Oryctolagus cuniculus: one gene and its partners. The protein of the gene in region 1 binds, or shares a complex with, the protein of each later gene. Links are inferred from orthologs where the notes say so. Each region holds a gene or a part of one and is shown on either strand. Other genes may lie near its edges.

Region 1 (4,245 bases):
TGACCTCTTCAAATTAAGAGGTGAGGCAGAGAATTCTAATTCGGAGCCGATCTGAGGCCACCCCGTTGATTCCAGTATGCATTCTTCTTACAGCTTACCCACGCTGTATCTCCAGGTGACGCTGGTAGAACAAGGATCAGTCGTTACAGGCAGGCAGTATTACCAAGCGACCGTTTCAATTAGAAGGAGACAGAACAAGTTAGACTGAAACAGACTTGTCAGTAACACCATGACCAGGTTTTCTACTCGATGCCCGGAGACGCAAGTTTCAAGGTCAGAGGAGCCATGGGCGGCTCCCCCTGGCTCCGGTGTTCCGCTCCATCCTCCCTAGTCCACTTACCTGCCCTTCCACCTCCCTGACGAAAGCCCGCATAAACCCAGGTGCTTCCTGCCAAGTCACTCTGCACAAGCCCTGGTTAGGGGCTATGCTAATAATATGGGGACCGATGGCCCCAGCAACATTAAGAATCCAACCTACAATTTAACAATAGAAAACAAGAAAGTGCTCTCCAAGGACCCTGCCAAATCCTTTCTGATGTTCCATTAACGAGATAAAATATTTTTTTCACAAGGCAAATTGACAAAAAAAAAAAAAAAAAAAAAAAAAGTTCTTTCACAGGAGTCACCCTGAGGGAACAGTTTATCACAATTCCGAGATGACATAATTGCAGCTTGGTGGAATTCTCCAGGCTGGATGGCTTTTCCAACCCACCCATCATTTCAGAGATGGGCATTACGGATTCCTGACATGCTCAAGGGTCCATTATTTGCAAAACCCTATCTTAACGCCTCCAGCCACGGCCATAGAAGCAGTGGCAGCTGCAGCAGGAAAGCATTTTTCAAGCCTGCTTATCTAGATCAGGAGGCCAATTTTTTTCTCTTACTCAAAACTCAATTTTGTTCTGAGAACACCTCTCCCCCTTCTTTCCTATTTCCCAACGCAGGCTGCCTCAGGTTCCCAGAATGTACCTTCCAGCTGTTTTTTCCTTAACCTCAATTCACCTTCAGGCCCCATCCCTTCTTTCCAAATCTCCATTTCCCAAAGGACTCCTAATACTGCAGCTCACAAGGCGGGCAAAGGCCCCGGGCAGCATTAACCCCAGTAGCAGGCAGGCAGAGCGGAGAACCAGCCCCTCTAAATGTGACTTGATGCAGGAACAGAGGCAGAATTACAGCCCCTCACACCCAAAATCAAGCTTTCGGGTCCCTTCATGGACATGCTCTCATAGTCACTATCGTTTCTGTAAGATTTGCGAACGCTGTACTTTAGATTCATTTTTTTTAAAAGCCCCCAGAATTTAAGATCAGACTCCCCCCCCCCCCATCTAGGCGGTTCCCTTGTTTGCATGAAGGGCTCCTAGCTCAGCACAATAGCATACAGGTTCACCAATGCACCAATGCGTTGTGGGCTGCGGGCTTCCCAACCCATGCAGCTAAACGCGTGACAGTGACAAGGACATCATAGAAGGGTAACTCACCTACTTGTCTTTCTCACTTGGAAAATCCGAAATACTGGTCTCAGCTACCTATGTCACCCGCTATTATCAAAAGCCTTAAAATGAGCTTTTTCAATGATTCTAAAATATTGGGGAGCTTATAAATTTGCCTTTTTTTTTTTTTAAGAAATCTCTTCCAAAAGCCAGCAAAACGACACAGGCGCTCCCATCCAGCTTAAGCCAACTAAAGCCTGCCTACCAAGCTGGCTAAGATGCATTTTTTCGGAGTCTCAGCCCCAGAATTTCTGACTCTTTGGGAGGTATCAAGATCGTGGAGTTCAAGGAGGCTCCTCCCAGGTCGTACGCTGGATGAACCCAGCACGCAGCTCTCCTGGCCGTGTGACCTTGAGCCAGGGAGAAGCAGCGTTCATTTGGAGACAATGTAAGATAACACGAAGCGCCAGGGACAGCGAGCTGGTAACCGGAACTCGGGAGTCTCAGAACCGCAGGTGGTGTCTAAATCCACGGTATGTGCTAGGGTGTGGCCGGCCACCACTCCTTCCCCGGAAATGGAGCTGCAGAATGGGGACCTGTGATGGCCTCGGGGAAGCAAAAGGCACACGGGTGCCTGTCCCCTGCCTGCAAGCAGGCTCAGCCTCCAGGCAGAGGGCGCGACACCCAACCTGGGGCGCCACGGCCTCCCCCCGCCCCGCTCCCCACCCTCCACCCCGAGCCCGCGTCCACCCGCCTGGAATGCAGGGAGGGGGGTCTTCGCACACAAAGCCAGACCCCGGGCGTGCGAAGGTAGGCAAAGCACGATCCAGGCAAGCAGAGCCGAAAGGAATTTCGGATTGCACAGGTTTCAGATCGTGGCTGAGAAACCCAGGGCAGGGCCCCACTCCCCAAGGTGGTTTTTTGGTTTTTTGTTTTTTTTTTTTTGGAAACAAGTGAGGGCCTTGGAGAAAGGCGGGAAGGAGGTGTGAGCCCCCAGATCCCGTAGAAGCGTCTAGAAGGGCTGCGGCTCCCTCCCGTTTCCCTCACGGCTGAGGATGCAGCGACCCCCGCCCGCCCGCCCGGTCCCCCTGCCTTCGCGACCCTGAGCGGTTCCCTCCCCGGGGACCCCACCCCACCCCACCCCACCCAGAGCCCGGTGTCAGGAAATGGCGGGCGGGCGGCCGCGCCCAGCAGGGTCGCCCGGAGCGGGACCCAGCGCCCGCCGCCCCATCCCGCCTCCTCCACGCCGGGCCCCCCGGCCGGCCACGCGCGGGCTCCCGGCGCGCTCACCGCCTTCATGGCGGAGGCCATATCGTCGTAGCGCTCCGCCTGCTCGGCCAGCCGCGCCCGCTGCAGCAGCTGCTCACGGTCCCCCATGTCGCTCGCGGCTCGGCCTCGCCTCGCGCCCCACACGGCTCGCTCGCTCGCCCGCCCGTCCGCTGCCCGGTCTCCGCGGAAGCCCGCCGCGCACGCGCACTGGCTCGCCGGCCGGCCCGAGGCTGCAGGCAGCGCCGCGGCTCGCGCCCTCTCGCTGGCTCGCCCCGCGCGCTCTGGCTCTCGCCGAGGACGCCGCTGAGGGAGGAGAGGCAGCCGCGCGGGGGGGAGCGGGGGAGGGGAGGACGGGGCGACGCCTGCGCACTGGGAGCCGCCGCGCCGGGCGGCGGGAGTGGGAGGGGGGGAAGGGCAGGCCAGCCCTAACGGTCTATTTCAAGGTGACGTCACCTACTATAAATAGCCGCCGCCGCCGCCCCGCCCGGGAGCCGCGCAGGCGCCGTGCGAGTGCTGCATTTTACCGCCGCAGAGGTGGAGGTGGGAGGTGAGGGGAGGAGACCCGGGGTGGGGACTGCAGAGCCTGAGGAGGGGGCGCCGTGATGGCGGCTGAGCCATGGAGAGCGTCCCGGAGTCCACGCTAGGGATCTGGCTTGAGAGGAGCCCTCCACCCCACAAAAAGCAAACAAATTCGCTTTTGGGGAGAGGCCGGGAGGCCGCGCGTCCTGAGGGCCGGGTCGGACCCGCCCGCGCTGGCCGGAGTCTGGTCTGGCCGCGGGACCGCGCCCGGTCGGGTCTGGCCTCCGGGGCAGCCCCGTTCCCGCCCCTGCACACCCACTGGGCTCCCACCCACCCCGAGAAGTGGTCTTGGGGCCGACTGTGGCGTCCACGAGGAGGTCCGGGGTGGGGGGTGGCGCCTCGGACAGTGGCGCTCAGGGACACCTGCTGGCTGGGAAGCAGGCGACCCGGAGCTGGGCCTTTATAGGCAGGGCCCCATGTAATCCTCACTCCAGGGAGTGGACGCAGCTGGTCGCCCCGTAACCAGAGGCAAAGCCGGGTGGGCGGCTTGCGGGAGGTTACAGAGCCGCGAAGTGATACAGCCAGGACCTTAGGGACGTGCAACAAAGGACAGCACAGGACCTGGGGGAGAGGCTGGGCACCCAACTCTATTCCCTGCACTGAGTACGCGTCCCTGCCCGGAACAGCAGAGATCCAAGCAGCAACAGAGCAGCCTGGGGCCCAGCCTGAGTTCGAATCTCGGCTGTGGTCCTCGGTCCAGCTTCCTGCTAATGTGCACCCGGGGAGGCAGCGGGGATGGCTTCAGTAATTGTTCCCCTGCCGCCGAGGGGAGGTGCGGATGGAGTTCTGGGCTCCTGGTTTTGGCTTGGCCCAGCCCCGACTGTTGTGAGCATTGGAGGAGTGAACCAGTGGATGGACGATATCTCTACTTACCTTTCAAATAAAATGGGGGAAAACATTTTTTTTTTTAAGAGCATGTAAGCTGGCTCTTGAAGGAGAAGAAAGTCAGGCAAAGACATGAAAACTG
Region 2 (2,708 bases), on another chromosome or scaffold:
CAGAACTAGTCATGGAACAGTGCCTTAAAGTTAGAGGGAGAATAAAACTCTAGACCTGTGGTTCTCAATCCTTTCCCATACTGGGAACTTAAGACAAACCCTGAAGCTGGGGCTGCTCCCTCCCTCCATATTCTAACTGGTCTGGTGTGTAGGACAGGCATTGGGATTTTAAGTTTCCAAGATGATTCTAACATGTGGCCAAGGTTGAAAAGCGCTGCTTGAAGCCCTGAGGTGTGCCTGGGATTCTAACCAGCTCCCACATCAAGTCCATGCTGCTGTTCATACCACATTTTGAGCAGCAAGAATCTGACTTGAGAGAGATCTACTCAGAATCAAACAAACCTAAAGTATGAATGAAAATTCAAATTTTAAGGATATACTAATCCCAATAAAAGACTCTGTAATACTAGGGACCTGCAGCAGCAGCAGAATTAAGAAGAAAAGTAAACTCATTTGCCAATACAGGAAAGGGGAAACACCAGCCCTTTATGGGCAAGAGCTTCTACCACGAACATTTATTTTTGTTAAAGCAGATTATAAATTCTCATCAGTACAAATATATATATATAACTTACATTTGATTGTAAGGCCAACGTTCAAAAGTAAAAATGAGATGGGATTACACATTACCCGAGGTCAGCTGGCAATGGGACGTTCTGCTCACCAAAAGGGGGGGCAGCGGACACACAAAGCTACCAAAACCAGAATTCCCATCCCCACAAAACCTGGAGGAAAAAAATTTAAAGGACAAAACAAAACCCACCAGGACTGACATTACAAACCAAGACAGGAACCTGCATTCCCTTCTACGGATGTGATTATGTCATTGTCACCTTAGTGTTAAAGGACTAACATAAGGAAATTGCAGCAATATATAAAAGATAATATTCTCTATAGAGCATATTTAGATTGATTGCATTAAAATAATGACATTACATTTTCATCAGTTTTAAAACCAGGACAATACTGCTGTTTCACTGTCTTTAAAACTACAGCCTAGTGACGGTGTTGGTCACAAGCATGATTGTTGCTGCAGCGTGCTACTCACAATGAATTCAATCTCAAACAAGCTAGGGATCCATCTGTGACTTCTGACGCTCTTTTTATTTCAATAGGCATCAATGATAAATCAATCTTATATACAATTTCTTACAACTAACCCTTTTACTTTTGGCAAGATTACTTACAACTCATACAAGTTTTTAATATTGAGAACTATTTAAAATATTCTAAATGCATAAAAATAAAGATTTTGGCTTTTTGATATATATATATATATTTATAATATTTAATTCTGTTACCCAAAATGGAAGCTTAACTTTACCCCCACAGTATAGCTCTGCTGGGCAGTTGCTGATGTGGCCTCCCAGGAATTCTGGCAGCACAGCCTCTCTGTTCCCAGCTAGAGCACAAACGCTCTGTTCTCGTCTCTAAGACAGACCAGTACTGAGAGGAGGCAGGTGAATGGCCTGGAAAACAAAAGGGAGACTGTTTTGCTTCCCATTGTGTTTCATATCCCAGTAAATGTGCTTTGAATGTAGATTTCTATTCAGATACTTCTGCCTCTCTGCCACCAGAGATCTGTAAGGGCACGAGGGAGGAGAGGGTACAGAGGGCACGCCCTTGATTTCTTTAGCCTACTTCCAAGACAGGCTTCTCTAGGAATGGTTTTCCCCTCTTCTTTCAAAATCATCCCTCACTGTACTCTGTGCCTGGACTTGTTCCTGGGGACTTTTTGGGGTTAGTGAAAAGTGTCCTGATCAGGAAGACAAAGGCTCCTTTGACCTTTCTACCCCTTCGCCTAAGTATGGACAAGATACATGAACCATAGAGATTGCTTAAAGTTCAATTTCAAATGTCTTCTGCAAGTCACTGGAGAAAGGGTTGGTAGGGGAGGGATTAGTACGCTGCTTGGACTTGCTTTCTAATGCAGCCCACTGAGCTTCAAAAGGATCCACTGTACAGGTGCCTGCAGGAATCTCCGTGTGCTTGTCTCCTGAAGCCAACCTGCCATTGTCTACACCATTGAAAGCTGCAGAGCCGTTGAGGTGCTGAGCAGGAGGCTTAAAGAAGGGACTGGCAGTAGCACTGCTTGACTCGTACTGCGGGAATGTCTGCTGCTTGGCCAAGCTGGGTGACTGATGGGGGAGCACAGCCTGGGGATGGCCTGCAGTGCCAAACATGTTGGCTACCATCTGGGAGGGAGTCATGCCCACCACAGGCACATTAGGGGCCGGATAGGACATCCCATTGGCCACAGGATAGGTCTGGGCAGGGACAAAGGCTGGCTGCAGGGGTGGGACCACACCCATTGGCACAGGTTGAGAGGTAAGGAATGCATTCCCTTGGAAAGGTGGTGCTGGTTGGGAGATGGCAGTGGGTGGAGGATGCTGGAGAACTGGCTGCAGAGGGGCAGCCGCGGCCTGGGGCTGCTGAGCCCGGACACTCTTCGACACCTCTTCTAACCAGCGGTCAGCCTCAGAGGGAGTGCGTCTGTGACCAGCCTGGAAAAGACCTGGAGAGGCAGCACCAGATGATTGACTCCATTCGGTCCCTGGAAACAAGATGAAAACAGACAAAAGAATCAGAATTAGAGGCTTCATTCATTAGCTTACAACTTTGGTATCTGAATGATCCTAACATTTGGAACAAGTCCTCCTAATGTACTTGTTGTGGTTTAGGTAAGAGGAAATTATCTATGTGATCAG
Region 3 (3,646 bases), on another chromosome or scaffold:
AGAAATGTCGGGACGGGAAGGGTGTGCGGGTTCAGTACAGGCTCAGACGTTTGTCCAGAGCATGTGCTGCCTGCAGTAGGCGGAACCCGTGGGTGTAGAACCCGTCGGCACCGAGGACCGAGTATTTTCTCCCCTAAATTTCTACGATGAGAAGCATTTTATTTGAAATGGTAGGCGTCGGCCTCGTGGCCCTAGTGCTGGTTATGACTCTGTGCGTGGTGACATCAAGGGGAAGGTGGTGCCTGGATTTGCACAGCTTTCCAGGCTGGTGTCCATGGGTGGGTCCCAGAGGGACGGCAGAGCAGGGTGCGGGTGTCCCAGACAGATAAGCGCCTCCCTGCCCAGCCTGGCCTCTTCAGCTCCTTTTTTAAGTCCCCATGTTTTTGGCCTCTTCCAAAGAAATCCCGTGCCTCCCTTCTGATAACTATAAAATTTAATTTTCAGAAGCAAGATGCATCAGAACTTGGGTCTCTAGTCCTGACGGATGTGTCCGGCTCTTTGCTCCGCTAAACATAATCTCTTGATGGGTGAACTTGAGATGGAAGCAAGGTCGCCCTTTCCCACTGGTGCTGCCACATGAAGAGTAATCAGTCATAAGCAGCCATGAAATCGCTGGCCTTTGGTGATGGCATCATGAAATGTGTCCATCTTAACAATCCAGGGCCTCATTAGGTTTTCTCTCTCATATGCAGAACCCATTTCCTGAGAAATCTGAACAAATTGTGCTTGTCATCCTTCTGATAGTAGGATGTTACTGCTCCCTATGCAGAGTGACTTCGTGGTGGTGACTGTGGCTTGATCTTTGTCGTTGCAGACATACCAAGTGGACCTGAAGCCCAATGGCTCAGAGATAATGGTGACGAATGAAAACAAAAGGGAATATATCGAGTACGTATGCACACGTGTAGGCCTCTCCTTGTGCCAGGTGGAATGCTCCGTGGGCGGGTGGTGACTGGCCAGTTTCCACAGGCCAAGTTCCTCTCGGGGTGCACTGTGGGAGGTTCGTGGCAGGGTGGAAAGCTGGCCCTGCAGCATGGCGGCCGTGAGCTGCCGTGGGAAGGGATCGGGGAGAAGTTGCACGCCTCCTTGAGTAACACAGCAGGCACTCTTGGACAATGGGCATCTCATCTGAAGTTCGGTGTCAGTGCCCAGCAGGGCGAAACTGGGGGCCGCCCAAGGTGAGATGTTTTCTCTCCGTCCCTACTTCACTTCCATAGTAAATAGAGAGGAAAATAGTTAAAACGGGCAGGAAGAACGCGTGTGCGAGGGTAATGAGCTATTCTGTAGCTGTACTTTCCTAACCCCGTCTCAGCCTCGGCTGGGAAATCAGACTGTTGAGTCCTTTTGGGGCTCTGCTGTGGGGTAATCCGAGGACGTTGGCACCAGCAGAAGGTCTTTATCTGACCGCCTCACGTTTTCCTCCTTGGGAACTGCATGAGGGATATTCCAAAAGTGCATGGTCATGGACAATGCATATTATGAAAAATCCAGACATGGGTTTCAAAAAATTTGGCACCTGAATAAACGTGATGTTTCATTCCACTTTCCACGACCGTGGTTCAGACACGCGGTCCTGGGCCGTCCTAGGGCTTGCCAGGCTGCAGGGTGGGAAGTACAGCAGCGCTGAGCCCTGCACCGGGCGGCTCAGAGCCTGAGTGCCTGTCTGCATCCCGGGCTCCAGTCCAGCCAGCCAGGTTCCCCCCGGACTCCCCTCTGAAACTGCCCAGAGCCCTTCTGTCCAGGGGATGGGCTGGGGGTTGGCTCAGCGTCACCTGGCGTGAGCTGCAGAGAAAAACCCTGTCCTGCCGAATTAGGAAGAAAGGGAGAGCGTCGAGGCTCCTCTCGGAGACCCCGGCAGGGCGAGCCCATGACATAGCCGCCTGTTGCGCTGACGACTGGAGGTGAGACCTGCAGTCCTTACCTGTCCATGCTCATTGCCACACTTGCCTGAACTTGGACGGTCTCGCATGTGACACCCTGGGAGACGGCACTGTCTGCAGAATGTGCAGGCCGGGAATAGATTTTTAAAATTGCTGCAGCCACAGGTGACCAGGAGTTAAGTCTGAGGAATCCCACGTGTGTTGGGCACCGCGCTTCGCGGTTAATTGTTTTTGGGCTGTAACGTGAGGGCCAGGCAGGGTTTCAGCGCACTTCCCTGAGAGTAGTGGTTCGACAGGCCGCCTGACACCTGCCATCCCGCGGCCCTGGGTGGGGGAGGCCTGCACTCCTGCCAGTCAAAGCCTCCTACGGTTGAGCCAGGGTCACACTGCCGGCTGCTGCTCGGGGCTGTGGTCATGGCGCCACCACAGCAGGGAGAGCCCTTTGTAACAGTGGTGCACCCGAAGTGGAACCCAGAGTGGACGCGTGTGCAGCAGATGATGCTGTGTAGACAGTATTGTCACAGAGAGACTGTTAAAGAGGGCTCAACACTCGCCTGCCGAAGTGGATACTAAAGTAGCAGCGTGCAGCTGTATCACCGGGAAGACTTGGAGTGTAGGGACTGCAGCTACTCGAAAGAAACCTCAGGAGCAGAATACATGGTGCTGGGTTTCCCCTTTACACACGAGAGTGTGTGTGTGTGTGTGTGTGTGTGTGCGCGCGCACCTGTGTATTTGAACGTGCCTGTGGCTGTGTGTGCTTTGACACATCCCTGTCTACTCAGCCAGGGGCCTTTCTCTCCTCCACGTGGTCACGTCCGTGAAGCAGCTAGGACCAGCTGCGCCTTGGTGGGCTAGGGAGGCAGGGGGTCAGTTATGCTTTGACCGTTTCCATGAGACTTTGAGATGTCTCGCAGATGCTCCGGCGATCTCAGACTGCACGGTGGGGTCCCAGCTGTCGACCCTCCCTTCGGCTGCGTTCCTGGGGCGGGGGGGGGGGGGTCTCTCTCCCTCCCTGTCCCGTGTAGCAGTTGCAGCTGAGGAGGAAGGAGGGGGTGGCGGCAGTGTCCATGGCTGAACCTGCCCTGTTCTCCCCTGCAGCTTGGTCATCCAGTGGAGGTTCGTGAACCGGGTCCAGAAGCAGATGAACGCCTTCCTAGAGGTGAGCTGTGCAGGAGACGTGGGGAAACCGAGGCAGGGTGGGAGTGGGGCAATGCAGGGAGGCTGGGACGTCACAGCTCACGCTGGCCAGCTGCCGGGCCAGAGGGCTCGGCTGTTTTACCACCACCTTTTTTTAAAATTTTTTTCATGTTAAAGGCTCTCATCTTTGGCTTCTCTCATTTTTTAACTTAATAAAGAGGGCTTTTTACAGAGCTGATGCGGAGCTGTTGACTTGGCACTCCAGGGTGGCCCCCAGGAGAGGGCTGCCCATGGCGACAGGTCTTAGGGAGAGCAGGGTCCCGACGAGCTGTCCCTCCCTGTCCCTTCCTTGCTGTCTGAATTCCTCAGATTCTCTCCTGTAACAGCTGCATGAAAAGCAGTTTCTCAACTCGAGGTTTTATTTCGAATCCAGCCGCCTCGTGTGGGAGAGAAGCCAGCACTTCCCAGGTCCAAGTGTTTGAAGTCAGGGCTGCCCCCGGCCCTGCCTGGAGGCCCCCAGCATGGGGCGATGGACTTGTCATTTCTGGGTGTTCTCGCTTTGGCCGAGAGTGAGATTGCTTCATCAGGGAGGATGGCACGGGGGACGCCCCGCCCCCGTGTGCCCAGCC

The links.
Region 2: the proteins of YWHAH (region 1) and NUMB are in contact, whole or in part, in a crystal structure (PDB 5YQG), measured with the Mus musculus proteins. The link is inferred for Oryctolagus cuniculus from reciprocal best matches to the Homo sapiens genes YWHAH and NUMB. Residues at the interface, in NP_035868.1 of Mus musculus: Arg57, Arg132, Tyr133, Leu177, Asn178, Val181, Glu185, Ile222, Leu225, Asn229; in NP_001129547.1 of Mus musculus: Gln274, Gly275, Ser276, Phe277.
Region 3: the proteins of YWHAH (region 1) and NEDD4L are in contact, whole or in part, in a crystal structure (PDB 7NMZ), measured with the Homo sapiens proteins. The link is inferred for Oryctolagus cuniculus from reciprocal best matches to the Homo sapiens genes YWHAH and NEDD4L. Residues at the interface, in NP_003396.1 of Homo sapiens: Arg12, Glu15, Asn39, Asn43, Leu44, Ser46, Val47, Lys50, Arg57, Lys125, Arg132, Tyr133, Gly174, Leu177, Asn178, Val181, Tyr184, Glu185, Leu221, Leu225, Asp228, Asn229, Leu232, Trp233; in NP_001138439.1 of Homo sapiens: Pro444, Arg445, Ser446, Leu447, Ser448, Ser449, Pro450, Thr451, Val452, Thr453, Leu454, Ser455.

Annotation. Positions count from the first base shown.
Region 1 is NC_091452.1:25,023,254-25,027,498, reverse strand, and holds the start of YWHAH (14-3-3 protein eta), read right to left. Parts: upstream 2,808-4,245; coding exon 2,721-2,807; intron 1,964-2,720; exon of another isoform or gene 1,347-1,963; intron 1-1,346. UniProt on the Homo sapiens protein: Adapter protein implicated in the regulation of a large spectrum of both general and specialized signaling pathways. Binds to a large number of partners, usually by recognition of a phosphoserine or phosphothreonine motif.
Region 2 is NC_091451.1:19,419,762-19,422,469, forward strand, and holds the end of NUMB (protein numb homolog), read right to left. Parts: intron 2,555-2,708; coding exon 1,839-2,554; 3' UTR 501-1,838; downstream 1-500. UniProt on the Homo sapiens protein: Regulates clathrin-mediated receptor endocytosis. Plays a role in the process of neurogenesis.
Region 3 is NC_091441.1:19,988,516-19,992,161, reverse strand, and holds part of NEDD4L (E3 ubiquitin-protein ligase NEDD4-like), read left to right. Parts: intron 1-814; coding exon 815-888; intron 889-2,978; coding exon 2,979-3,039; intron 3,040-3,646. UniProt on the Homo sapiens protein: E3 ubiquitin-protein ligase that mediates the polyubiquitination of lysine and cysteine residues on target proteins and is thereby implicated in the regulation of various signaling pathways including autophagy, innate immunity or DNA repair.